Canis lupus familiaris: one gene and its partners. The protein of the gene in region 6 interacts with the protein of the main gene of each other region in a pairwise test. Links are inferred from orthologs where the notes say so. Each region holds a gene or a part of one and is shown on either strand. Other genes may lie near its edges. The genes, in order: CIB3, UBE2K, LRRC8E, UBAC1, TNIK and TRIM2.

Evidence for each region.
Region 1: the proteins of TRIM2 (region 6) and CIB3 interact in binary tests that used the Homo sapiens proteins (3 or more experiments, as listed by UniProt). The two-hybrid records come from large-scale screens. The link is inferred for Canis lupus familiaris from reciprocal best matches to the Homo sapiens genes TRIM2 and CIB3.
Region 2: the proteins of TRIM2 (region 6) and UBE2K interact in binary tests that used the Homo sapiens proteins (3 or more experiments, as listed by UniProt). The link is inferred for Canis lupus familiaris from reciprocal best matches to the Homo sapiens genes TRIM2 and UBE2K.
Region 3: the proteins of TRIM2 (region 6) and LRRC8E interact in binary tests that used the Homo sapiens proteins (3 or more experiments, as listed by UniProt). The two-hybrid records come from large-scale screens. The link is inferred for Canis lupus familiaris from reciprocal best matches to the Homo sapiens genes TRIM2 and LRRC8E.
Region 4: the proteins of TRIM2 (region 6) and UBAC1 interact in binary tests that used the Homo sapiens proteins (3 or more experiments, as listed by UniProt). The link is inferred for Canis lupus familiaris from reciprocal best matches to the Homo sapiens genes TRIM2 and UBAC1.
Region 5: the proteins of TRIM2 (region 6) and TNIK interact in a two-hybrid assay, tested with the Homo sapiens proteins (2 studies listed by BioGRID and IntAct). The link is inferred for Canis lupus familiaris from reciprocal best matches to the Homo sapiens genes TRIM2 and TNIK.

The regions. Positions count from the first base shown.
Region 1 is NC_049241.1:46,726,623-46,729,619, forward strand, and holds the end of CIB3 (calcium and integrin-binding family member 3), read left to right. Parts: intron 1-65; coding exon 66-213; intron 214-1,072; coding exon 1,073-1,268; intron 1,269-2,475; coding exon 2,476-2,497; downstream 2,498-2,997. UniProt on the Homo sapiens protein: Acts a an auxiliary subunit of the sensory mechanoelectrical transduction (MET) channel in hair cells. Plays a role in regulating hair cell MET channel localization and function.
Region 2 is NC_049224.1:73,349,853-73,353,788, reverse strand, and holds the start of UBE2K (ubiquitin-conjugating enzyme E2 K), read left to right. Parts: upstream 1-1,136; 5' UTR 1,137-1,369; coding exon 1,370-1,432; intron 1,433-3,936. UniProt on the Homo sapiens protein: Accepts ubiquitin from the E1 complex and catalyzes its covalent attachment to other proteins. In vitro, in the presence or in the absence of BRCA1-BARD1 E3 ubiquitin-protein ligase complex, catalyzes the synthesis of 'Lys-48'-linked polyubiquitin chains.
Region 3 is NC_049241.1:52,998,626-53,001,168, forward strand, and holds the end of LRRC8E (volume-regulated anion channel subunit LRRC8E), read left to right. Parts: coding exon 1-1,023; 3' UTR 1,024-2,043; downstream 2,044-2,543. UniProt on the Homo sapiens protein: Non-essential component of the volume-regulated anion channel (VRAC, also named VSOAC channel), an anion channel required to maintain a constant cell volume in response to extracellular or intracellular osmotic changes.
Region 4 is NC_049230.1:49,436,398-49,439,897, reverse strand, and holds part of UBAC1 (ubiquitin-associated domain-containing protein 1), read right to left. Parts: intron 3,490-3,500; coding exon 3,387-3,489; intron 3,121-3,386; coding exon 3,012-3,120; intron 2,387-3,011; coding exon 2,146-2,386; intron 1-2,145.
Region 5 is NC_049255.1:36,054,484-36,058,663, reverse strand, and holds the start of TNIK (TRAF2 and NCK-interacting protein kinase), read left to right. Parts: upstream 1-1,380; 5' UTR 1,381-1,507; coding exon 1,508-1,564; intron 1,565-4,180. UniProt on the Homo sapiens protein: Serine/threonine kinase that acts as an essential activator of the Wnt signaling pathway. Recruited to promoters of Wnt target genes and required to activate their expression. May act by phosphorylating TCF4/TCF7L2.
Region 6 is NC_049236.1:51,380,465-51,384,593, forward strand, and holds the start of TRIM2 (tripartite motif-containing protein 2), read left to right. Parts: upstream 1-1,329; 5' UTR 1,330-1,435; coding exon 1,436-1,465; intron 1,466-4,129. UniProt on the Homo sapiens protein: UBE2D1-dependent E3 ubiquitin-protein ligase that mediates the ubiquitination of NEFL and of phosphorylated BCL2L11. Plays a neuroprotective function. May play a role in neuronal rapid ischemic tolerance.

The DNA of each region.
Region 1 (2,997 bases), on a different chromosome or scaffold from region 6:
GAAGGTGGGTGCTGAGAGTGATCCCATATGGTGCCCTGAGTCCCCTCCCTGCTTCTTGTCCCCAGGACAACCCGTTCCGCCAGAGGATTGCCCAGGTGTTCTCTGAGGATGGGGACGGCCACATGACCTTGGACAACTTCCTGGACATGTTTTCCGTAATGAGTGAAATGGCTCCCCGCGACCTCAAAGCCTACTATGCTTTTAAAATTTATGGTGTGTGCAGAGCTCGGGGGTAGGGGAACATGGGGGTGGGGTGGGGGTGGGAACAAGACCAGGTGTGGGGCCAGGAGCTGCCCTGCAGTCACAGATGTCTCCCCAGGGGGCTTTGAGGCCCCGCATGGACTTGTCCTGCGCCCCATATTGCTACTTGCTGACCTCATCCCCTTACTCCTTTCCAGCCACATTGGCCTCTCTCTTCCTCCAGCTCCCCAAACTCCTCCTCCCTCTAGGACTTTGCATCTGCTGTTCCCTCTGCCTGGAACAGCTCTGCCTTGACTCCTGCTTACCTTGAAGTCTAGGTCAAAAGCAGCTTCCACCTTCAACCACTCTACACCCCACATCCTATTTCCTCTCCCAGCATGGAGCAGTGCTGCTTCATTCCTCTTCATACTGATTTCTCTCTGATGAAACCCAAGGGCAGCAAGAGTATCTATTTTTGTCCCCATCTGTCTTCCGTGCCTGGGAAAAAGTAGGCATTCAATATTGTGTGACTAACTGACAGAAAATTTATCACAGCACCTAGCATTCAGTAGGTGCTCACTAAAAGCTTGTCAAATGAACAAAACTTTATCACGGTGCCTAGAACATCGTAGGCACTCACTAAATACTTGTAGATTAAAAACAGTCACATATGCCCGGCACATAGTAGGTCCTCAGTAAATACTTATGGGGGGAATGAATGACCTCCCAGCAGGACTCTGCCCAATTCTAAAGCAAGATCCAGCTATTACCCCAGGGTCTTGGGCTCCTTCCGGTGCCTCAGTTTCCTCCTCTGCAACAAGGGGACAAGAGGCCCGGCCTGTCTACCCCCAGCTGTGCCCCCACTCCACATCCCCTCTATCCCACTGCACAGACTTTAACAATGACGGCTACATCTGTGCATGGGACCTGGAGCAGACAGTGACCAAGCTGACACGAGGGGAGCTGAGCGCTGAGGAGGTGAGCCTGGTGTGCGAGAAGGTGCTAGATGAGGCCGATGGGGACCACGATGGGCGGCTCTCCCTGGAAGACTTCCAGAACATGATCCTGCGGGCACCCGACTTCCTCAGGTGTGACACTCCTCGCCACTTTGCACAATCCATTTCCATGTCTGAGAGGGGCTCCTGCAGAACTAGTGTGCGGACTCCACTTGTGAAAGCTCCTCCATTCATTCATTTGTGACTATAGGGAACTTTCCCAGCCTCCCTGGCCTCAGTCCCTGCATCTTTAAAGTGGGGATAATTGGGGGCCCCATGAGCACCCCCTGTGGGTGGACACAGCTCTTTAGGCAAATGGAACATGGCTGGTCTTCAGCCCTCTCTTGCCTGAACATTTTGCAGTGAACAGAGTGGGCAACTGTGTTTGGCAGTCCTGGGAGGAATCAGAGCCCTCACCGGAGGGCTGATAGCAAGTTAATGGGGGTGGCCAGCCACCTATTTTTGTACCTCGCGGGAGCTAAGAATGACTTTTACATTTTGTAAATGGTGGGGGAAAGGTTAGAGACTAATAGTACTCCACGACACATGAAATGGATATGAAATTCAAATTTCCATGTCCATCAACAGTTTCACTGGGACACAGCCATGCCTGCTTATGTATGTACTGGCCACGGCTGCTTTTGAGCTACAAGGCTCAACTGAGTCATTGCACAAAGCTGGAAATATCAACCATTTGGCTCTTTGCAGGAACAGCTGGCTGACCCCCGAGTTAGTACATGGGAAGACTTTAGGGCAGTGCGTGGCACACAGTAGGTGCTCAGTATCTGTGTGCCGGGGTTGCTGTCGTGGCTATAATTACGGGTGGTGTCCTTATGTGCACGGAGGTCCCCCCATCCTCTACCTGAAGGAGCCCGCTGGTCTCTTAGCTGACAGAGACAGGAATAATGACAATTGAATGAGCCCTATCGCTGATAGCAGCTCTGTGCGACAGCACCCTGTGCCTTTGCCCCTTTCGCCCTCATTACAGCCCCATGTAGGAGGGACGGCTATTATCCTTCGTTTACAGAGGAGTAGACTGAAGCCCAGGGCGGGGTAGCCACTCACTTAGAGTCCCACAGCAAGTCTGGGGCGGAGCCGGAAGGTCAACTCCCATCCAAAGAGGTGTGCTTTCCGCCCCTGTGGGAGTCAGGGGAGCCACCGCCTGGGGTTCTTAAGCGGACCCATCTCCCCTTAGTAGCTCCTTGCCTGTGTCAGGGACTCCCCTTGGGAGAGTTCAGGAGGAGGACGAGCCAGGGCCAAGCTCTGCCTCATGACGGACTCTATTTCTCTTTGCACACAGCACCTTCCACATCCGCATCTGAGAGCACCGTGGGCGAGAAGCTGGGTCAGAGGAGGACCGGGTGACCCCTCACTCCACTGTGGAATCCGGTCTCCGTGGGTTCTGGGAATAAACGCACATCACTGAGTCACATCTGCTTGGAAGGCATGTTTTTCACCTTAAACCTGCCGGATGAGAGAGAGGATGCCTGGGATCTCACCTCTGCCCTCACTGTGTGACCCTGGGTGTGGCTGCGCCCTCTGTGAGCCATGATCTCCCCAATTATACAAGGAAGTGGCTGATTTCTAGATCTTTGTCCACCATGAGGCCTGGAAGTGCCCCGGTAGCTGTTAGTTTAGGTGGGCAGAGACCAGATGTAGAGATCTGGCCGAAGAGATCTCACCCCAGGGCCTCCCAAGGCTGAGCCCTACCCCCAACCTCCTGAGTTCCCTCTCCCCCCAACAATCCTTGAGTTCCTCAAGGGGACCAAAGCTTTAACTCCTTTCTCATTCATTAGAACTGCCAGAGGAGGCCTCTGAGGGG
Region 2 (3,936 bases), on a different chromosome or scaffold from region 6:
AAAATATGTATTTATTTATTTTATTTCTCCATTTTCCACTTTAACATACAAACTATTTTCACATGTTTTAGTTTAGTGGTGCTGGTAGTGTGGTCCCTGAACCAGCAGCAAGAGCAGCAGCATTTGAGAACTTGTTAGAGAAGCAAATTATTAGGTCCACCCCACACTCTAGGGATGGGGTCTAGCAACCTGTTTTTGTTTTGTTTCGTTTTTTTAAACAAACTCTTGAGGGATTCTGATGTAGATTCAATGTTAAAAACTTAAAAAAAAAATGTCACTAGTGTCAAGGTTAAGAAACCCTGTTCTCTTTTTTTTAATTTTTAAAAAAATTTTATTTATTTATGATAGTCACAGAGAGAGAGAGAGAGAGGCAGAGACACAGGCAGAGGGAGAAGCAGGCTCCATGCAGGGAGCCCGATGTGGGACTCGATCCCAGGACCCCGGGATCATGACCCGAACCCAAGGCAGCCGCTCAACTGCTGAGCCACCCAGGGTGCCCCCAAGGTTAAAAACTCTTACACCTCGGTACTGATGATCTAAGTAGCTCAAAGATCAACATCTGACTTCGAAATCTACCTCAGGCATCTACATGGAGTTACCTGTTTCAAATACACCTGATGCGACCCAACAATGACCACTTTGAATTCAGCGACGTGGAGTATCTGGAACAATCGCGTTAGTAGTGGCACTTTAATGGCTTCAGAACAAAAACGGACCGCCGTGGGATTTTTCTGGGCCTACACCGACAGAAAATGGGCCGGATGAGTTCTGGAATGGTGTTTTCGTGCCCTCGACCCAGTCAGGCGCAGCAAGCCCGGGGGTCCTGGGTCTGGCTGGGTCAGGACGGCGCTCGCAGCCGACCGGGGCCGCGAGAACCCGCTAGCTCGCGCCCAGCCCTCCGTCAGAGGCCGCGGGTGGGAAGCCTCGGCCGCACCACAGCGATTTGGAGAGGGGCGGAGGCACCCGAGAGGACCCGGGAGGCCCGCGCAGGGCCGGCCAGCGCGGAAGCCGCACCCTCCTGGCCTCAGACGCCGGCAGGGCGGAGCCACGCGGCCGCAGCTCCGGCAGAGACGCGCGGCGCAGCGCGGCGCGGGCTCGCGTTTGAGGCGTATGGGGCTACAACGGGAGCGGCTGCGCCGCCCGGCCGGGTCAGCGTCTTGCGCATGCGCGGACCCGGCGCCATTTTGGTGGCCGGGCGCGGAGGTGATTCCACACTGAGGAGAGCGCGGCGGCCGGGTGGCAGTGGCAGCGTTCGTGTGCTCGGGTGTGAGTCGCCGAGGGAGGAGGCGCTGGTGGAAGAGGTGGCGGCGGTGGCGGTGGTCGTAGCGGTGGCGGAGGAGGCGGGTACGAATCAGCTGCGGGCGGAGACATGGCCAACATCGCGGTGCAGCGAATCAAGCGGGAGTTCAAGGAGGTGCTGAAGAGCGAGGAGGTCAGAAATGAACTCCCAGACATGCCCCCACCCCAGCCCTGGGCGGGAGGGTGCTCCCAGCGGCGACCCCGGCCCCCCGGTAACCCCTGGGTGGCCCTCTTGGCGGCCGCCCTTTCTGCCTGTGGGGAAGCAGCAGTCTCCCCCCTGCTTCCGTCGCCCTCCCCTCCCCTCCCCGGGCCCTGGGATGGACAGTCTCGCGGGCGGGCGGTCTGGAGAGGAGCACGGTTTGGGGGGCAGATGGAGAAGGGGGCGCCTCCTGGAGGGGTGTGAGCTCTAGAGAGAGCCCGAGGCCGTGGCAACAGCTGGAAGTGTGGATGTAGGGTGGGGAGGGAGCAGGCCGGGCCTGAGAAAACCCGGGAAGTGGGTTGGGGGAAGGGGAAAGGTGGTAACTGGATCCCGAGAGCCGCGCCGCTCCGAGGCCCGCACTTTTGAGGGTTTTCTACGTTACAGCCTCTTTGGCCTCCACTGTCCTTTTCTTTTGGGAAGGAGCGGTAAAAAGACCTTAGGTACTGATGAAAGAAGGACGTTTCAGAGTTACTCCCTCCTTAGTTCGGTGTTGGGAGAGAAGAGGAGACGTAATGGGATACTATTCTATTGGAGTGGGGAATGAGGGAATTTTCACCTGAGGTAGGGAATTAATTCCAAAATAGATCATTATCTCATTTTTCCCGACTTCCCCCCCCCCCACAACCCTTCCTTCACCCCACCCCCAATTCCTAGGCCTCTTTTCTGTTGACATCTAAAGCTTTTTGATTGGGTCGAAGGCATGTTGTTTGGTGTATTAAAGGCATTTAGATATTTTTCGATAGGAAAAAATAATGGAGGGTAAAGAGTAGCTTATTTCAAAATATTGTTTACAAGTTACAGGTCAGAGTCTCTCCTAAGACAATGCCTCTGTGACTGTTGTGTTATGCCATGAAACTTCATTATGATGTCTCTCATAGTTAACTTGATTCTTACTTTTGAAAAACCAGCCCTATTAAAAACATGGGATTTCCCCCGGATTAATATATTATTATACCTCCTTATTGAGTAGGTTTGTATCATAATTGAAATTATTGGAAACACTTTTTTTTTGTCTCAAGCTGCTCTTGAGTCCTGCAGAATTTAAATACTCTGCTGTTTGCCATATTTACTTATATAGTATATTCAGAATATTCTAGTGATTTGACTCAAAACTGTACAAGGATCAGTACAATTTTTTATACCCACAACAACAAGAATGCCAAGTTTTTCCTCCTTGGATTTAACAAAGAGAGAGATGAAAAAGTAATACTGAAATAGTTATTATTTTCAAGATGTCACATACCATTATTGGATGTATCATTACTATTTGTATTTTTCTTTTATGTTGGAGCGTTGATAATCTCAATGATTTGTGAAATTCAGCATTCTAATGAGTAATTGACATAAGTGGCAATACTTGAGCTTTATTTATGTCACTGATTCTACAGTAATCATTTCTCCAATTAGACATGGAGAATATAATTCTTTAAGATTAACTTAAAATAACAAATACTAGCGATTTACTAATGTAGTAGTCTATAAGAAATGATCTGTTTTACAGAGCATGTGTATGAACTCTGACCTCTGTATTTGTTCAAGAGCCAAAACTCTGAATGGAAGGATGACTTTGTATTTTTGTGGTACAATGCAGAAATAGGATCATAAATGTCTGTACTGATATACAGTGAAACAATGATTCTAACTTTTTATTCGCAAGAAAATATGTTCCAGGATAGTCGACATATATATAATCCTATGAAATATTCAGCTAATACTGTTGCCAACAGCCTAAAACATTTCTTCTGTTAATAAAGTTGTACAAGCCTGAGACTTAATATGACTTCTTTCTAGTGCTTTATTTTCTATTAAAAATGGTAAGTTACTGCTCTCAATTCATATGGTCTCTTTGCTTCGTATGAGGTGACTTTCACTATATTTTTAGTACTTCAATTAAAGCTTAAAAGAAATCTTGTATCAACTCTAGTATGCATATTGTTAAAACAATACTGCTCTGTAAGGGATGTTGAAGTCTTGCTTCAAGTAAGCATTATGGTATTTCAGAGAAAGAGAATAGGAAATGCTAATAAATTGTTTTAAGAAGAGTACCTTTATAAACCTGGAAGGAAATTTCTTCTAGAAAATAAATTGCAGAGTACATTTAGGAAAGGGTCAGATAATTTAATCTTGGATTATAACCAATAAATAGCTTTATTTTCATCGATATTTTAGTAGGTCCAGTTTTATAAGTGGATTGTGTTGATTATTTTCAGCTCATTGAATGACTTGTAGTAGAGTCCACGTGTTTTCCTTTTTAAGTGTGGAAATGTAGTATTTTGAGTGTCTGGTCAAGTAATTAAGTATTTCATCATATCATCTACATAAATCTCTAGGTTTCCCAAAGTTTGTTTCATATGGTCTTGTTTACTAAGAATACTGATTGGTTTAAGGAATTTTTTTTTTTTTTTGTCTTTTGTTTTCTAAAGATAGCTGATGTTTGC
Region 3 (2,543 bases), on a different chromosome or scaffold from region 6:
TCGCAGCTGGTGCACCTGCAGGAGCTCAGCCTGCTCCACTCGCCTGCCAGGCTGCCCTTCTCGCTGCAGATCTTCCTGCGGGACCGCCTGAAGGTCATCTGCGTCAAGTGCGAGGAGCTCCGCGACGTGCCCCTGTGGGTGTTTGGGCTGCGTGGCCTGGAGGAGCTGCACCTCGAGGGGCTCTTCCCCCCGGAGCTGGCTCGGGCAGCGGCCCTAGAGAGCCTCCGGGAGCTGAAGCAGCTCAAGGCGCTGTCTCTGCGGAGCAATGCCAGCAAGGTGCCGGCCAGCGTGACTGACGTGGCCGGGCACCTGCAGCGGCTTAGTCTGCACAACGACGGGGCCCGCCTGCTGGCCCTGAACAGCCTTAAGAAGCTGGCGGCACTGCGGGAGCTGGAGCTGGTGGCCTGCGGGCTGGAGCGCATCCCCCATGCCATCTTCAGCCTGGGCGCGCTGCAGGAACTTGACCTCAGGGACAACCACCTGCGGTCCATTGAAGAGATCCTCAGCTTCCAGCACTGTCGCAAGCTGGTCACGCTCAAGCTGTGGCACAACCAGATCGCTTACGTCCCTGAGCACGTGCGCAAGCTCCGGGGCCTGGAGCAGCTCTACCTCAGCCACAACAAGCTGGAGACCCTGCCCACCCAGCTCGGCATGTGCTCCGGCCTCCGCCTGCTGGACATCTCCCACAATGGGCTACGCTCCCTGCCGCCCGAGCTGGGCCTCCTCCAGAACCTGCAGCACCTGGCTCTGTCCTACAATGCCCTGGAGGCCCTGCCTGATGAGCTCTTCTTCTGCCGGAAGCTGCGGACGTTGCTTCTGGGCTACAACCACCTGAGCCAGCTCTCGTCCCAGGTGGGGGCCCTCAGAGCCCTCAGCCGCCTGGAGCTCAAGGGCAACCGCTTGGAGGCACTACCAGAAGAGCTTGGCAACTGTGTGGGGCTCAAGAAAGTGGGGATCCTCGTAGAAGACACCCTTTACGAGGGCCTGCCGGCAGAGGTGCGGGAGAAACTGGAGGAGGAATGAAGCAAAGGTGGGGAAGGCTGGGTAGAGGCCTTCTGGATGCTTCCACTGCAGAATCTCTACTACTGTCTTCAAGAGAGGTGGCCAAGAGGGCCCAGGCCAGGAGAGAAGGAGCAGACGCATCAGCCACCATGGGTTCCAGGCAAGATCCTGGGACTGGTTTGTCTGAGAAGAGATGAGAGGCTGTGGATTTGGGGTGGAACGTCGTAGAGGGATTAACTCAGTCATAGGATTCTCAGACCCAAACCACACCTGCGTCTTTGGCTGGCTGTCCTGCCCACACCCTGGACATTCTGGCCTAGTTAGTGCCATATATGGGGTTGGGGCACATCCCAATGGGATTTCAGCCCTTTCCCCCACCCCTCAAAACACCTTATAGCTGGTGTTCTCTCCCAAGGAGGGGACACAGACACAAGGGACTAATGAGTGACCCTTGCCCCCAACTTTGATGCCAAATCCTTATTTATAAGTTGTTTGCTATGGACACGCAAAATCAGAAAAATGGTTCTCGTGTTTGGCTATGCATCAAAATCAACATCCCCAAAACAAAACATCCTGGGCCCCACCCCTGAAAGACTGACTCAGGTCTGGCTGGAGGCCAGGAACCTGCCTGCAAATACACATCCCAGGTAATTCTGATGCAGGTGGTCCTAGACCTGTGTGTTGGGAATTGCGGACCTACAGAATCTGCAAGTCCAGAGCAGGGATTCTGAACCCTTTCTAAGTCCTACACCTTTTGAACATCTGAGAAAAGCTGGGTGTTTCCTTTCCCAGGAAAATGCTCAGGTACACATACATGCAAAGTTCCGCAAGCAACTTTAGGCAGTCAGCAAATTCCCCCAGATTTCCCAGAGGGCCATTCACGGACATCCTAAGGATGGCAGACTCCAGTGTTAAGAATGCCTGCCGAGGAGGTTAAATTTTTCTGAGCAGAGGCAGGGATTTTGTCTTTCCAGTGTTTCCTGTGTGAGAGAGCATCTACCAGTGGGTGCTTAATAAATAATCTGAATTATGAGAACTAAACTTCCGATCTCTGGTATCCACTCCTGTTTGTCTAAGCCTTCCATTTCGCCAGACCAATAACAGGCAAGCAATGACACTCACATGGCGGAATCAAGGGTATGAGTTTCTGTCCTGGAAGCAGAGGCAGGAGAGACCTCGGCTTATCAGGCATCATCTGCGTAGCTATTTTTTGGAGAACTCTCTTTCTTCTCCATTCCTTATTATTCTCCGGACTCCACACTCTCGCATCTGTTCCACCCGCAAATTGTCACCACGGGAGTCCCCACAAGCCTTCCGCGCCCGCCAGTGTTCCCGTGCTGGACCAGGAGCAGGAAGGGCATAGGGCACAGCCTGCCTGACCTGGACCTCCCGGGCCTGGACACCTCAAGGAGTCTGAAAAAATGCGAGCCTCTTCCTCGCAACTGAGAGCAGACGCAAGCTGCTTTCCGAAATCCAGGATCCCAGATGGGGGCATTTTCCCGGGCGCCCACAGACCAGTTGAGCCGCGAGGAGACCAGGCT
Region 4 (3,500 bases), on a different chromosome or scaffold from region 6:
AAATGCTTAATTGCCTGAGCCACCCAGACAGGCACCCCTACTCTTGACTTATATAATCTTTAAAAGGGTTCCTCTTGAAAAAAAAAAAAAAAAAAAGATCAAAGGTGCCTGTCTTCTTCCTGCCTGCCTGCTGAACTGCTCTACTTCTTTGAGGCGCCTAAGGGTCAGTGCTGGCAGTGACCCGCAGAGCCCCCGGGCCCACACCCCTGCGGCCCTGCTCAGCCTGAACTGGACGTCCCAAGGAGCACTCGGCAGGAAGGAAGTCAGCGGCAGGTGGCAGTCAGGACAGACGCTTCACTGGAGCCAAACGGGGTTCGGTGAGCTCACAAGGCAGCATTTCTACTACGACCCATGTCACGTGCTTTCCTGAACCGGCTTGTAACCCCAGGGCTGGGGGCTCCACCCATGAATGTCGGGAGGACCCACCACACCAGAGCCTGACCTCTAAGTCACAGAAAAAGTCCAGAACCTCCCACTAAATCCAAGGATAGGGTGGTCTTTCCATGAACATCAGTAAAAACTAGCCTCTTGTGTCACTCACTTCTACCTCAGCCTGGGGAAGCGATGCCCCAGGACTTCTGCACAGTGACCGCAAGGATGCACCCGCACTATCCTGCCAGGAGTCTGCGCACTCACTGCCCTGCCCACTGCACTTCGCTGCCCGCCCACAGCAGGCACTGGCATGGGGGTGCAGGTGTTGGGGGTGGGGATAACAGCAAAGTCTGTTGTCTCAAGTGCAAGCCCTGCTCTCCGATCCAGGCTTCCCGGGAGCCACACTAACACTCCAGTCCTTATGGACTCTTCTCTCCAACGGTGTAGGACCAAAGGGTGGGAGAGTGTGCCACACTGGCCCAGCCTCAACAGCCTTCCATAACAATCGTCACAGAACCTGTACCACAAAGAGGCCACGGTGTAAGGCCCGGCCTGAGTGCATGTCTGCGAAGAGAGCACATGGACACCACCGAGGTGGTGACAGGGCTGATGACGACATGGGAGCACCCTCAGTTGGGAAGCCCAGGACCCAGCAGGTACCGCTAAGCAGGACACTTCCAGATGGCACTGCTGAGCTCACCAGAGAGCAAGGAACAGCAACTTGGCCTGACAAATGGTGTGCCCTGGGAGGGAGCAGCAGCCACCAGCAGGGCCTACGGGCTGGGGTCTAGCGGCCACACCCAGACAGGATGTGGGCCTTGGGTCCCTATGAGATGAGGACCTGGAGCTCAGAAGCAGGACCCTGCCAAGGGTGTACACCCCCAGAGGGAAGAGGAGCTAGAGGAGCACTGGCCCCTGTGCAGGGAAGCGCCAACCCCAAAGCCATGGCTTATACTACGCGTGTGGCCTAGGAGTCCTGCCTGTGTGATTAATGGGAAACCTGGCCCCAGAGGGACATGCCACTCAGCCCATGGAAACGGCCTCAGAATCACCCACAGCAGGCATCCCACAGCCCAGCCACATGGGATTCCCACAGAAACACAAGTCTACAGTGAGCCACTCTGACAGCACTGTGCCCCAAGCAGAATCACAAGACCGGGTGGACTCAGGTCTAACGCCTAGAGCTCACTGATCTATAACCTGAAAGAAAACCGCAGGCTCAGAACAGAGAAAACATCGAAGAGGAAACCAGGAGTCTAGGAGAAGAACAGAACAGTGGAGAACACGCAGCCACGGAAGCATCAGGAGTGAAGTAATGGAAAAGGGGCAACCAGATATGGTACAGCAATGTCAGCCACCCAAACACAGCCAGAGCTGGCCAACCCCAGGTCCCCGGATGCTGCAGACACCACGGTCACCAGATGGCCAGAGCCTGACCAGCCTCCCCACGCACAGGCAATCCTGTGCACCCTATCTCCCGATCTCTAGGGTGTCTCCACCCATGCCCACGGCTCGCCAACAGTGTGGCAATGTGGCCGGCATCCTACTAGGAGTTTTCAGGAGATGGCAAATATGTCAGCCAATTATTCGGAGGAAAAACAGCCACCTGGATCTGTGAGGACAACTTAAAACTGAATGTGGGCCAGTCTGTAAGCCCCTCACCCAGCTTTACTCTCTCCAGGGCCAGGGCTGGTTCTAGCTCCTTCCACTTGGTGTAGCGCCACAGAGAAACCACAACCCCACCCGGCTGCCCCAGGGCTGCAGAACACATACCCGAGCATCAGGTCGAAACTCCCTTTTCCTCCGGATCTTCTTGAAGATCTCCGTTAGCTCATCTCTGGGCTCCTCATCTTCCGTGCTAGTCCCTGCAGCCTCGGGGGCAGCCTCGGGAGCGGCCTCAGGAGCGGCCTCAGCCCGCGCCCCTCCCGGTGAGGCCTGGCCCGGAAGAGGCGAGTCAATGGTCGGGTCTTCCGCGTGCTCTATTAACCACTCCATGGCCTGAGGTACCGACATGCTGAAAGGCAACGGGAGACTCCTTCCAGCACCCCCAGCCGGTTAGAGGGCCTCCTTGACAGCCCCAGGGACAGCCTCTCTGGTGCCCCTCATCGTGAGAATCTCAGTACAGAAGGGTCTGAAGCTCCAGGCCCTGCCCCAAACCGCCCCAAGACCCTGGTCAGAGCATGGGGAACCCGCCTGTGAGGTATATGTTAAGGGCCTAGCTCCATGGCAAAGAGCAGCACAGCGCATGGACCGTCTTCTGGGTCAGAAGTCACTTATGTTGGGTATAAGTGCAGATGCAGAAGCAAGTGGCTTCGGCCAGGCAAGCACGAGAGGCTGCTGAGGGGGACACTGCACACACCTTCAGCCACCATGTCCCTGCCAGGCACAGGCTTCAACATGGTGCTTGCACATGACAGCCCAGGGAGGACCCACAGGACAGCCTGCCCCCAGCACATTTCGAGCAAAGGCCAGTCCGTCTCCACTGTCTTAAGACACTTCGAGATGTCCCAGCTACTTCTGGGACGTATGTTTAAAGTCTCTATTAAAAATGGTTCAATCTAAAAGTAGGAGACCAAGGACATCACCCTGGGGGGGCTGCCAAGCATCAGCACCAAGGGGAGGAAGTGGCCCAGACGTACTGATTCAGCCGGAGGGCCTTGGCGGCCCTGCTCTCCGGGAAGCCCATCTCCGTGAGTTGCCGCAGGGCAGCCTCGTCCACTCTCCCATCCTCCTCCTCGTCCAGCATCGCTGAGGGCAAGAGACAGGGCCACCTGTGAGGGCCAGGCCAGCGTGAGGGCTACCCCCCCACCATGGAGCCCAAGGACCCCACCTGTGTGCCAAACTCCCTAAACTTCAGCAAATCTACACAGAACCTTCACCCGGCATGCTGAACAGGAGTCCACATCCACAGAAAGGACTGACGCTGGGCCCGTGGGCCACTGATACAGCCTCTGAGGCCAGGCAAGCAGTGGAGTCTGGACACAGGACCCAGTCAACCTGGAGCCTGCTCGTACCATTTGCCTTCTTGAACAATTCAACGGCATCTGGGTTCAGCGCTAACAACTTCTGAGCCACCTCAATGAGAGACACCAGGATTCTCCGGAGTTCTGTCTGGAACTGCAGGGAAA
Region 5 (4,180 bases), on a different chromosome or scaffold from region 6:
GGGCTCCCGCGTCCCTTCCTTCCTGCGCGGGGGGCCCGGGGGAAGTGACCTCATACTTTTGGTTGGGGAAGGTCATGCTTACCACTGTCCACGCTCAGCCTTTCCAGGAGCCAGCGGGGGGCGGGGCGGGGCGGGGGGTGGGGGTGAGCTCGCCCTCCTGCCGTGCATTTTGCACACACACCTCCCAGCACCCGCCAAACTTTCTCCGCCCGCCCCAGGAGCTCAGCGGCGGAAATGCTGCCCCCAGGGCCGACGTGCGCCGCCCCACCCGCTGTCGCCCTTGGAGGGGTACCTGACGCTGCGGCACCCGGGGGAAGGGAGAGAAAAAAAAAAAAAGCAAAAAAAAAAAAAAAAAAAAAAGAAGCTGCTCGTTTCGCTTCGGTCGTTTCCGTGGGGAACTGCGGTACGGGCAGGTCCTGGGTGTGGCGGTGCCAACAGGGAACTCCGATCTGCGTTTCTCCCGCTCCGGGGTAACCTTCCCAGCCCCCGACCCGCGGGTGGCCGGTCCCGGATGCCCCCTGCCGGGCTCCCGGGGGTCGCTGGGCGCCCCCCCCCGCCGCGGCGCAGCGCTGGAGCGCAGGGTGCCCGTGCGCTTCGCCCCCATTCGTTCCGCGCCTGGAGGCGGATCCCCTTCCCTGCACACAAGTCCTTATATGCACCGGTTGCACCAGCCCGTGCTACTCCAGCCTCACAAATAACTAATGGGGGGAGGGCGGCCGTCGCTCTTCCCCCCCCCCGCACCCCACCGCCCTCCCCGGGATGTGCAAAGCGCGGAGCATCGCACCCTGCCGAGAGCCCCCCGCCCCCGCCCCCGGTGCGAGGAGGGCCATTGTGCTGCAGCGCACGACTCGGACGCGCACGAATAAAGGCCCTTGGCCCCCGCGACAGGCCCGGCGGGGTCGGGGACCGCTCTCCAGACCCCGCGGGGGGCGCCCGGGCCGAGAGGGCGCGCCCCGCCCCGCGCGCTGGTGCAGAGGGCCCGGGTCAGGAAGCGCGGCCTCTCCCGGGCGGAGGCCCCGCCCCGCCCCGCCCCGCCCCGCCCCGCCCCCGCCCCCCGCCTCACTCCTCCCAGGAAGCGCTGATGGACAGCTCGGGGCGCTCGTCCGCCCCCACCCCCCGGCGGAGTGGAGGAGTTGATGTGTCTCATTATAACCGCCGATGCAGCCGCCATCCACGCACAGGCAGGGAAGCATGTCCCATTTAAATACACCCACGCAGCCCCTGCGCCCTTAGCCGAGCGGGGCGCGCAGCCCACACGCACCGCGGCTCGGGGCTGGGAGAGCCGCGCAGCTCGGGCTCCGGGTCCGCGGCCGCCCGCGGGCGCAGCAGCGGGATCGGGCGTCGCGGGGCCGGGCCGGGCCGGGCCGGGCCGGGGCGGGCGCGGGGGCTGGGCCGGGGCCTCTGGCGCGGCAGCCGCATGAGGACGCGAGGCCGGTAGACCAGGTGGAGTCTGCAAGGGGGGAGCCTCGGGGGGGCGCAGGGCCGCTGCTCCCGCGAAGAAGTCGACATGGCGAGCGACTCCCCGGCTCGCAGCCTGGATGAGATCGATCTCTCGGCGCTGAGGGTGAGCAGAACCGGCTTCTCGGGGGGTCTCGGGGGGTCTCGCCGGGGGCTAGGGGCGGCGCGCGGGCGGGGGCAAGGCGGATGCGCGGCGGCGGCGGGGGGGACCCCGGCTTCCCGTCCCCGCCCCGGGCGAGCCTCGGCTCCGTGACCCCCGCGGCGGCGGCCGGGCTCCCCGGGATGCGGGGCATTCACCTTACCCCGGCGCCCGAGCCTTGAACGTGGAATGCTCGTGTGCGCGCGCGCGTGTGTGCGCTGTGCACACGCGCCCCGGACGGCCAGCTCGTGCAAGGCGCGACGCCCCACCGTCCCCCCTCCCCCCCCCCCCTTTTTTTTTCTTTTTTTGCAAAACGTGGAGAAACGCACCGGCCGCTCACTTTGCGCAGCTCGCTGCGGGGTGACCGGGGCAGCCCGACGGCCCCGACCCCGCGACGCCGGTGCCCGTCGGTGGCCGCCGCCCCCAGGCTCCCCCCGCGCCCTCCCGCGCCCGCCTCGCGCACCCCTGTTTACGGTGTAACTTAGCCCTGCTTGCTTTTTTTTTTCTTTTTTTTTTGACTTTGTGGCCCTGACATTTCAGTTTTATGGGCCAACTTAAGGCAGGTGAAGGGATGTGCTCTCCGCGCTCCCCCGCTCAGACCGGAACTCCCGTGAGTGTGCGCGTGTGCGCGTGTGCCCGCGGCCAGCCCTTTGTAGGGAGAGTAGGGGGAGCATCCAGCTCCTCCGGCCCCGCGGCTGGCTTTGCGTTTCCCTTCACGTGAATCGCCCCAGACGCCCTTTTTTTTTTTTTTTTTTTTTTTTCATTGTATGGACTGAGACATCACTTGCCATAGGATCCATTTTGCTGTTGTTCTGAGCTCCGGATCCCGGGAACCCCAGTGTAGCCTCGACGACGCCCCACCCCCACCCCCGGATCCCAACACGCTCTTTCGGGGGAAGGGGGCCGAGACTTCTTGCCATTTTAATGAGATGCTGCCTCCCGAAGAGGGGGACAGGGAGGGTCTGATGCTGCAGCCAGTGGGGGGGGGGGGTCTGAGATGGATCGCACCCCAGTTAAGGATGGCTTCTTCCTCCCCCTGAACGAAGACTAGGAATTAAAGGGGGGAAAGCGACTGCATGTGTATCCTGGCAGCGCGGAGGGTCGGGGCCCGCCTCGCCGGTGCTGTCCACGCAGCCGCGCAGGAGGGGTGCAGCCGCGAAGTTCACACGCCCTCCTGAGGCTTACATGGTTACACTGATGCTAAATCTCGGGGTTACAGACCTGAATCTTCACCCCTCCTCCTGCCACTGCCCCTTCCCTCACGGGTATCTTGAAGAGCTGCCTTGAACCGTCCAAGTGCTACTTTTTCTTGCGGCTCATTAAAGCCTCCCTCCCTTGCACAGCCTCCTCTTGTGGAACTTCCCCTCCTCTTCTGCTTCATCCTTCCCAGAGGTGAGGTTTCTGCGAGGCAGTCCAGGGGTTGAGAAGGAACATAGATGCCATTTGAAATGGCCTCTTTTTTTTTTTTTTTTTTTGGATAGTTGGGCAGCAAAAGCTCATTCATGTGATATTACAGTAAGCTGTCTATTCGCCTGGTGCAGAAATGCCACATTCAGAAGCCGCAGCTCCCTGGGCAGCTGGGGGTGGGGGCTGGTAACAGGGTGGGTGCTTTGGCTAAGTCTGTGGTTTCCTGCCTTACAGGCTGTGTGTGTTCATTTGCCCTACTTTCTGTGCTGGGAGTTGCTGCCAGCGGGTTAATCAGGTGGATGGATGGCCCAGACTACAGGGTAGGGGAAAGTGGCGAAGCCCCGCAGGGGGTGGGGTGGGGGGTAGGGGAAGGAGCCTGAACAATGGGCAAGGCTTGTGGTTTTCTCCTGAGCAGAATGTCCTCATCCTCCTCTAATAGAAAGCAATCCGAGGCGATTTTTAAGTTGGCCTCGGTCAGAGGTGTCCCCCGTTGGCTTTTTCACGGGGAAGGTTTCCTGAGATCCGGAGCCCAGAGCCTGCAGGCTGGTGAGCAACCACGAGGGCTCACCGGGCCTGCCTGAGTGTGAATCACACACGGGAGGCCTGTGCTCCAGAGATCTGTATTTTGAAAAGAGATCTTGCAGGATTCACTGAAATTGCTCTTTGTCGCCTGGGCTTAGTGCTTTGCCTCTGTATTTCTGCCTGCAGGAGGTGTGTGAAGAGGGAGGGCGAAGGCCAGCTCTAGAGATAGGAACTGCTGGCTGGCTGGAAGACCTAAATGCAGATGTGGAGACGATTGCATCCCCGGTGCCGGAGAGTATGACCAGTCTTGTAGGGGGTGAGGTGTGCAGGCGGGCCATTGAGTCCAAGGGCCCTGTTGGTGATCTCCACAAATCCGAGAGCAGATAATGTCTCTCTGTCTTTCCAAATTAGGAGAGGTGGGTTTATCCAGATGAGAGGTCTCATTAGTTCCTAACCCCTCAGGAAAGCCCGCCTGCTGAGAGCCTCGTGGGGAATGCCTGACCCCTGAAATGCAGCCAAGGTCAGTGGCATCTTGGAGAATTTGCTGCAGCCTTAACCAGTCCCTTGCTGTCTCGGTGGCTCTTTAATGTACACAATCAATGCTCTTTTGTAAACCCTGAGCTCAATGCATTAAAAGCAGATCCTGTCTGGAGA
Region 6 (4,129 bases):
TTAAATAAGAGAATCATGATGCTTTAGAGGAAAACTAGACCTTTTCTAGAAGGTCTGTTCTTTAAAGTCAAGAGCCATGGCAGTCCAGATACAACAGCTCTTTTGGAATCGTTAGAAGAGGAGAATAAGAAGCTGCTTCATACGTTATTTGGAAGGGCCACCGGAGGAGTCTTCCTTTAATAGGAGTTAAATACCAGTGACAGAATCATAACATTTTAAAAACTGACATAGATTAGAAAGGACAGTGCCTTTTGATTATGATTTTTATGATCAAAGTCAGAAGGGCTTCACAGAGCATTTGTGGAAAATAAGTATATGTCAACATTTTTCTGTTTCTTTGCTAGTTAATTTTGATAGCTACTCTGCTCCCCTATGTAAATAATGAGACTGCTCCAAATTGTAATGACTGTACTTTTCTCAAAGTTTGTATGACTATAATTCATGCAATGCCACAAATCAGCCAAATAACTCTTAACTTTATTTTTACTTCAGTGTATCATTTAGAAATCATATACAGAAAAAAAAAACCACAGTTTATTTTCTTGTTCTTGGTTATTATCATAGGGTATTGAAAGGTTAAGCTGGCATAGTAGCTTTAAAAGCAGAATTTAGTTAAGATCAAGAGAGAGAAAAAAAAGCCATGGCTATCCCGTCTTCTTCTTCCAAACATACTGAACTAACTTCTGCTTTGTGTGTATACGTATGATCAGATAAAGTGAGTATCTAAAAAATGAATGTGAACCATTTATATTTGGGGGCAAAAATAAGCCCCTTTCTCTGGGTTCTGAAGACATACCAATCAAATCCAACGTTTTCTCTGTGGAGGTAGTGAATGCTTCTCATCAGACACTTTATTCTTTTTTTTTTCAGACACTTTATTCAACAAAATAAGCATGTCATAAAAGCAGCTTCCTTGGACTTTGTTCTTTGATTGAAAAACTGCTATCTACCTAAATAAATAGTACACTTATTGACCCCAGAAGAGTGAAGATGACTAGTGCAACACCAATGTTTGGGACTTTAAACATATGTATTATTATGTGTGAGGCATACAAACTTTTCCTTGAAATTGGTCTGCCCACAGTGATTAAACTTTTCAGCTTGGACTCCTTTCATGCTGCTGGGCTATAAAGATGAGAACTTGGCCCTTCCTATCTGGGTGTCTCCCTCGGGCTCTCGGTCTGGTCTCCCCGTCTCCCCGACTTCAGAATGAAACATAATATCTTAAGCTAACAGAGCCCAAAGAGGCTGATCATTGGCTCCCATTGTCCCCTGATACTGCAGCCCCGCCCCTTTGGCTTGTGCTGACAAGCTGTTTATATTTTTGTAAGGGCCACCCTTTAACTCAGCAGCCTGATGACTATAATGGGCCCAATTGTCTGTGGGCTGCAGAGAGCTGAGTCCCCACATCCGAGGAGGCTGGGGCCAGTCTCTGATGCACCAGAGTGGCCGTTATGGAACACGGGTAAGGACGATTCTGAGGACGTGATGATGCTTTTTACGGGCTAGCTGGTTAATCCTGGGCACCAGTTAGGAGAAACAAGTTGTGATTGAATTGCTAGCTTTTTCTCGGTTTTAAATTGTGTTGCCTGCTAGCAACGGGAGGAGACGATCGCTTCTCTGGGAAGTGCTGACAAAGCTCATAGTGATCCTGGCCAACCCAGGCAAGAAATGGGCAGGGAAGCAAAAAACTAGGGGAGGCACGCAAGTGGGTTTGATGTCAAAGCAACATGGGAGAGGCAGAGCACACGGCTGCTTCAGGGATGTTGTGAGGCTCAGAGGCTGTTTTGTTTTCGGACTTAAGTGTTCACAGTCAGGAGTTTGGCTCTGCCTCTGTGGGGTTTCTGTAAGCCGGCTGTTAACCGATGTAACTCGGTCGACCCTGTTTGAAGGGGTCTGGTATCTGCTGGTATTTCCAAAGGGCAAGCCATAGGAGTCTTGTATGTCATAAATAGTTCTATTCAGAAATGTGGGAACGGTTTGGAGCTGGCCGGCTGTAAAGTTTTACTGCCCATAAAAGTGCTCAAAGGGTACTCTGGCCGGCTGCAGTGGGGCTCAGGAATGAAGGAAGGGCCCCAGGCGATGAGGGCATTTGTCCTTGACTAACCGAGGAGGAAGTCTGTGGAGCCAGAGGACACCATGTGATTGGGGGTGAAACCTGAAATGGGCTTGGCCTGCCCACCTGGGGTTCTTTCTGGTTTCTGCCTTGTAAGTAAGCGAGAGAGGGTGGAAGAGGGCTCGGGCACCAGTCCCCGCTGCCTGAGTGCAGTATCCCCGCTGCCCTATTTGGTGCTAAGACCCCCTTCGTGGTGCAGAGGGGCGCTGCAGGCTAGGGCGGGGGCGCAATGTGTTTGGGGCCATAAGGGCGGGGGGTGAGGGGGTGGGGGGGGGTTGGCACAGCTAGAGCCCCAGGAATGAATTGCTTTGGGACTGACTGCTTCCGGCTAAACGGAAAAGCACCGCCGGCAGCTTTGATCGGAGACTTTTGTGCCCTCCTTTCTGATGCGCCACCGCTCGGTGTGAAGTCAGTGAACTCCCCCTTGGGGGTTCGGTTCGAGCAGGAAGAGAACCTGAGAAAGGGAAGAGGTGGAGTTTAACTTTTACAGAAACTCAAAGTGACCCGTGAGACTAAGACATGTGATGCTTTATGTATTTCGCTGCCTGTCCTAACCCCCAGAATTTGTATTTATTATCTGGATGTACCACGTTTGAAGCCAACCTGTTTGGGGGCTCCTGGAGGAATTAAGTCAGATGCAGAAGTTGTTCTTAATGAATTTGATCCAGAGCAACCTGAGTGTTTCGGCTCAGTGTACGAATATAGCAGGTGGTCTCTAAGTGAAGCTGTGGTCTCCTGCAGGGCCTGAGGTCCTGGGAGGGGGGCACGAGTGGCCACAGTCTTGTGCAAGGACAGAACTTCTGACTCTGCTGGTGCTGTGGCAGGTGGCGCGGAGGCTCAGCAGGCACAGGACGGGGTGCCCCAGCCAGCCTCCTGCCTCAGGCCTCACACACCCTAACCCTGGCCTCCTTCGGATCTGTGTATCCTCCATTCCCGCTGGACAAGCACCCCCAGATGGCAAGACGGCACAATGACAGAGGACAAAGGAGAGGGCTGATGAGAGAGGAGATGGCGTGAATTCCAGGAGACCCCCCCAAGGCACAAAGACAGCGCTTGTCCTGCTTCTTCTTCTTCTTCTTCTTCTTCTTCTTCTTCTTCTTCTTCTTCTTTGTCTTTTTGTGGGGTTGGGGAAGTATGGTTTATGCTGCTTAAGTTAGAATCTTTTATTTTATTTTTAAATTTTTATATATTTATTCATGAGAGACGCACATAGAGACGCAGAGACACAGGCAGAGGGAGAAGCAGGCTCCTTGTAGAGAGCCCGACATGGGACTCGATCCCGGGTCTCCAGGATCACACCCTGAGCCAAAGGCAGACGCTCAACCAGTGAGCCACCCAGGTGTCCCAAGTTGGAATCTTTTAATTTTAATTTTATTTATTTATTTGAAAGAGAATGAGAGAGAAAGCACGAACGGGGGGAGGGAGAGGGAGAAAAAGACTCCCTGCTGAGCAGGGTGATGTGGGGCTCGATCCCAGGACCCTGGGATCTTGATTGGAGCCAAAGGCAGACATTTAACCGACTGAGCCACCCAGGTACCTCTTTTCTAGCTGCTTTTATCAGAATGGTGGGCATGCCAGGTTCTTAGAATTTCAGATACAGAATTTATATGACCTAATGCTAACATAAGAGATTTACAATAACAAGGTTCTTCTAGAGCTTTAAAATACCGAGGGCTGTTCTCATGGGCCCACGGAGTCAAACAAACAAGCATGTACGGCGAAATACATGGTAAATGTCAATGATAATAACAACAACAATTTATTGAGCACTTACTATGTGCCAGGACTTTATCTCACTGGGTCCTCACTACATAAAGTAAGGATAGTTATTGTCCTCACTTAACAGAGAGGGGACCTGGGGCAGAGAGGTTAAGTAACTTGCCCAAAGTCACATGGCCCGTAAGCGACCGACATGTGAGTCACCGGGAAGATGTATAGTACATAACCATGTGTTATGAACTGAGGATTTCCTGTGGAGTACAGCTGGCATTTATACTTACGGTTTTTCAAGAA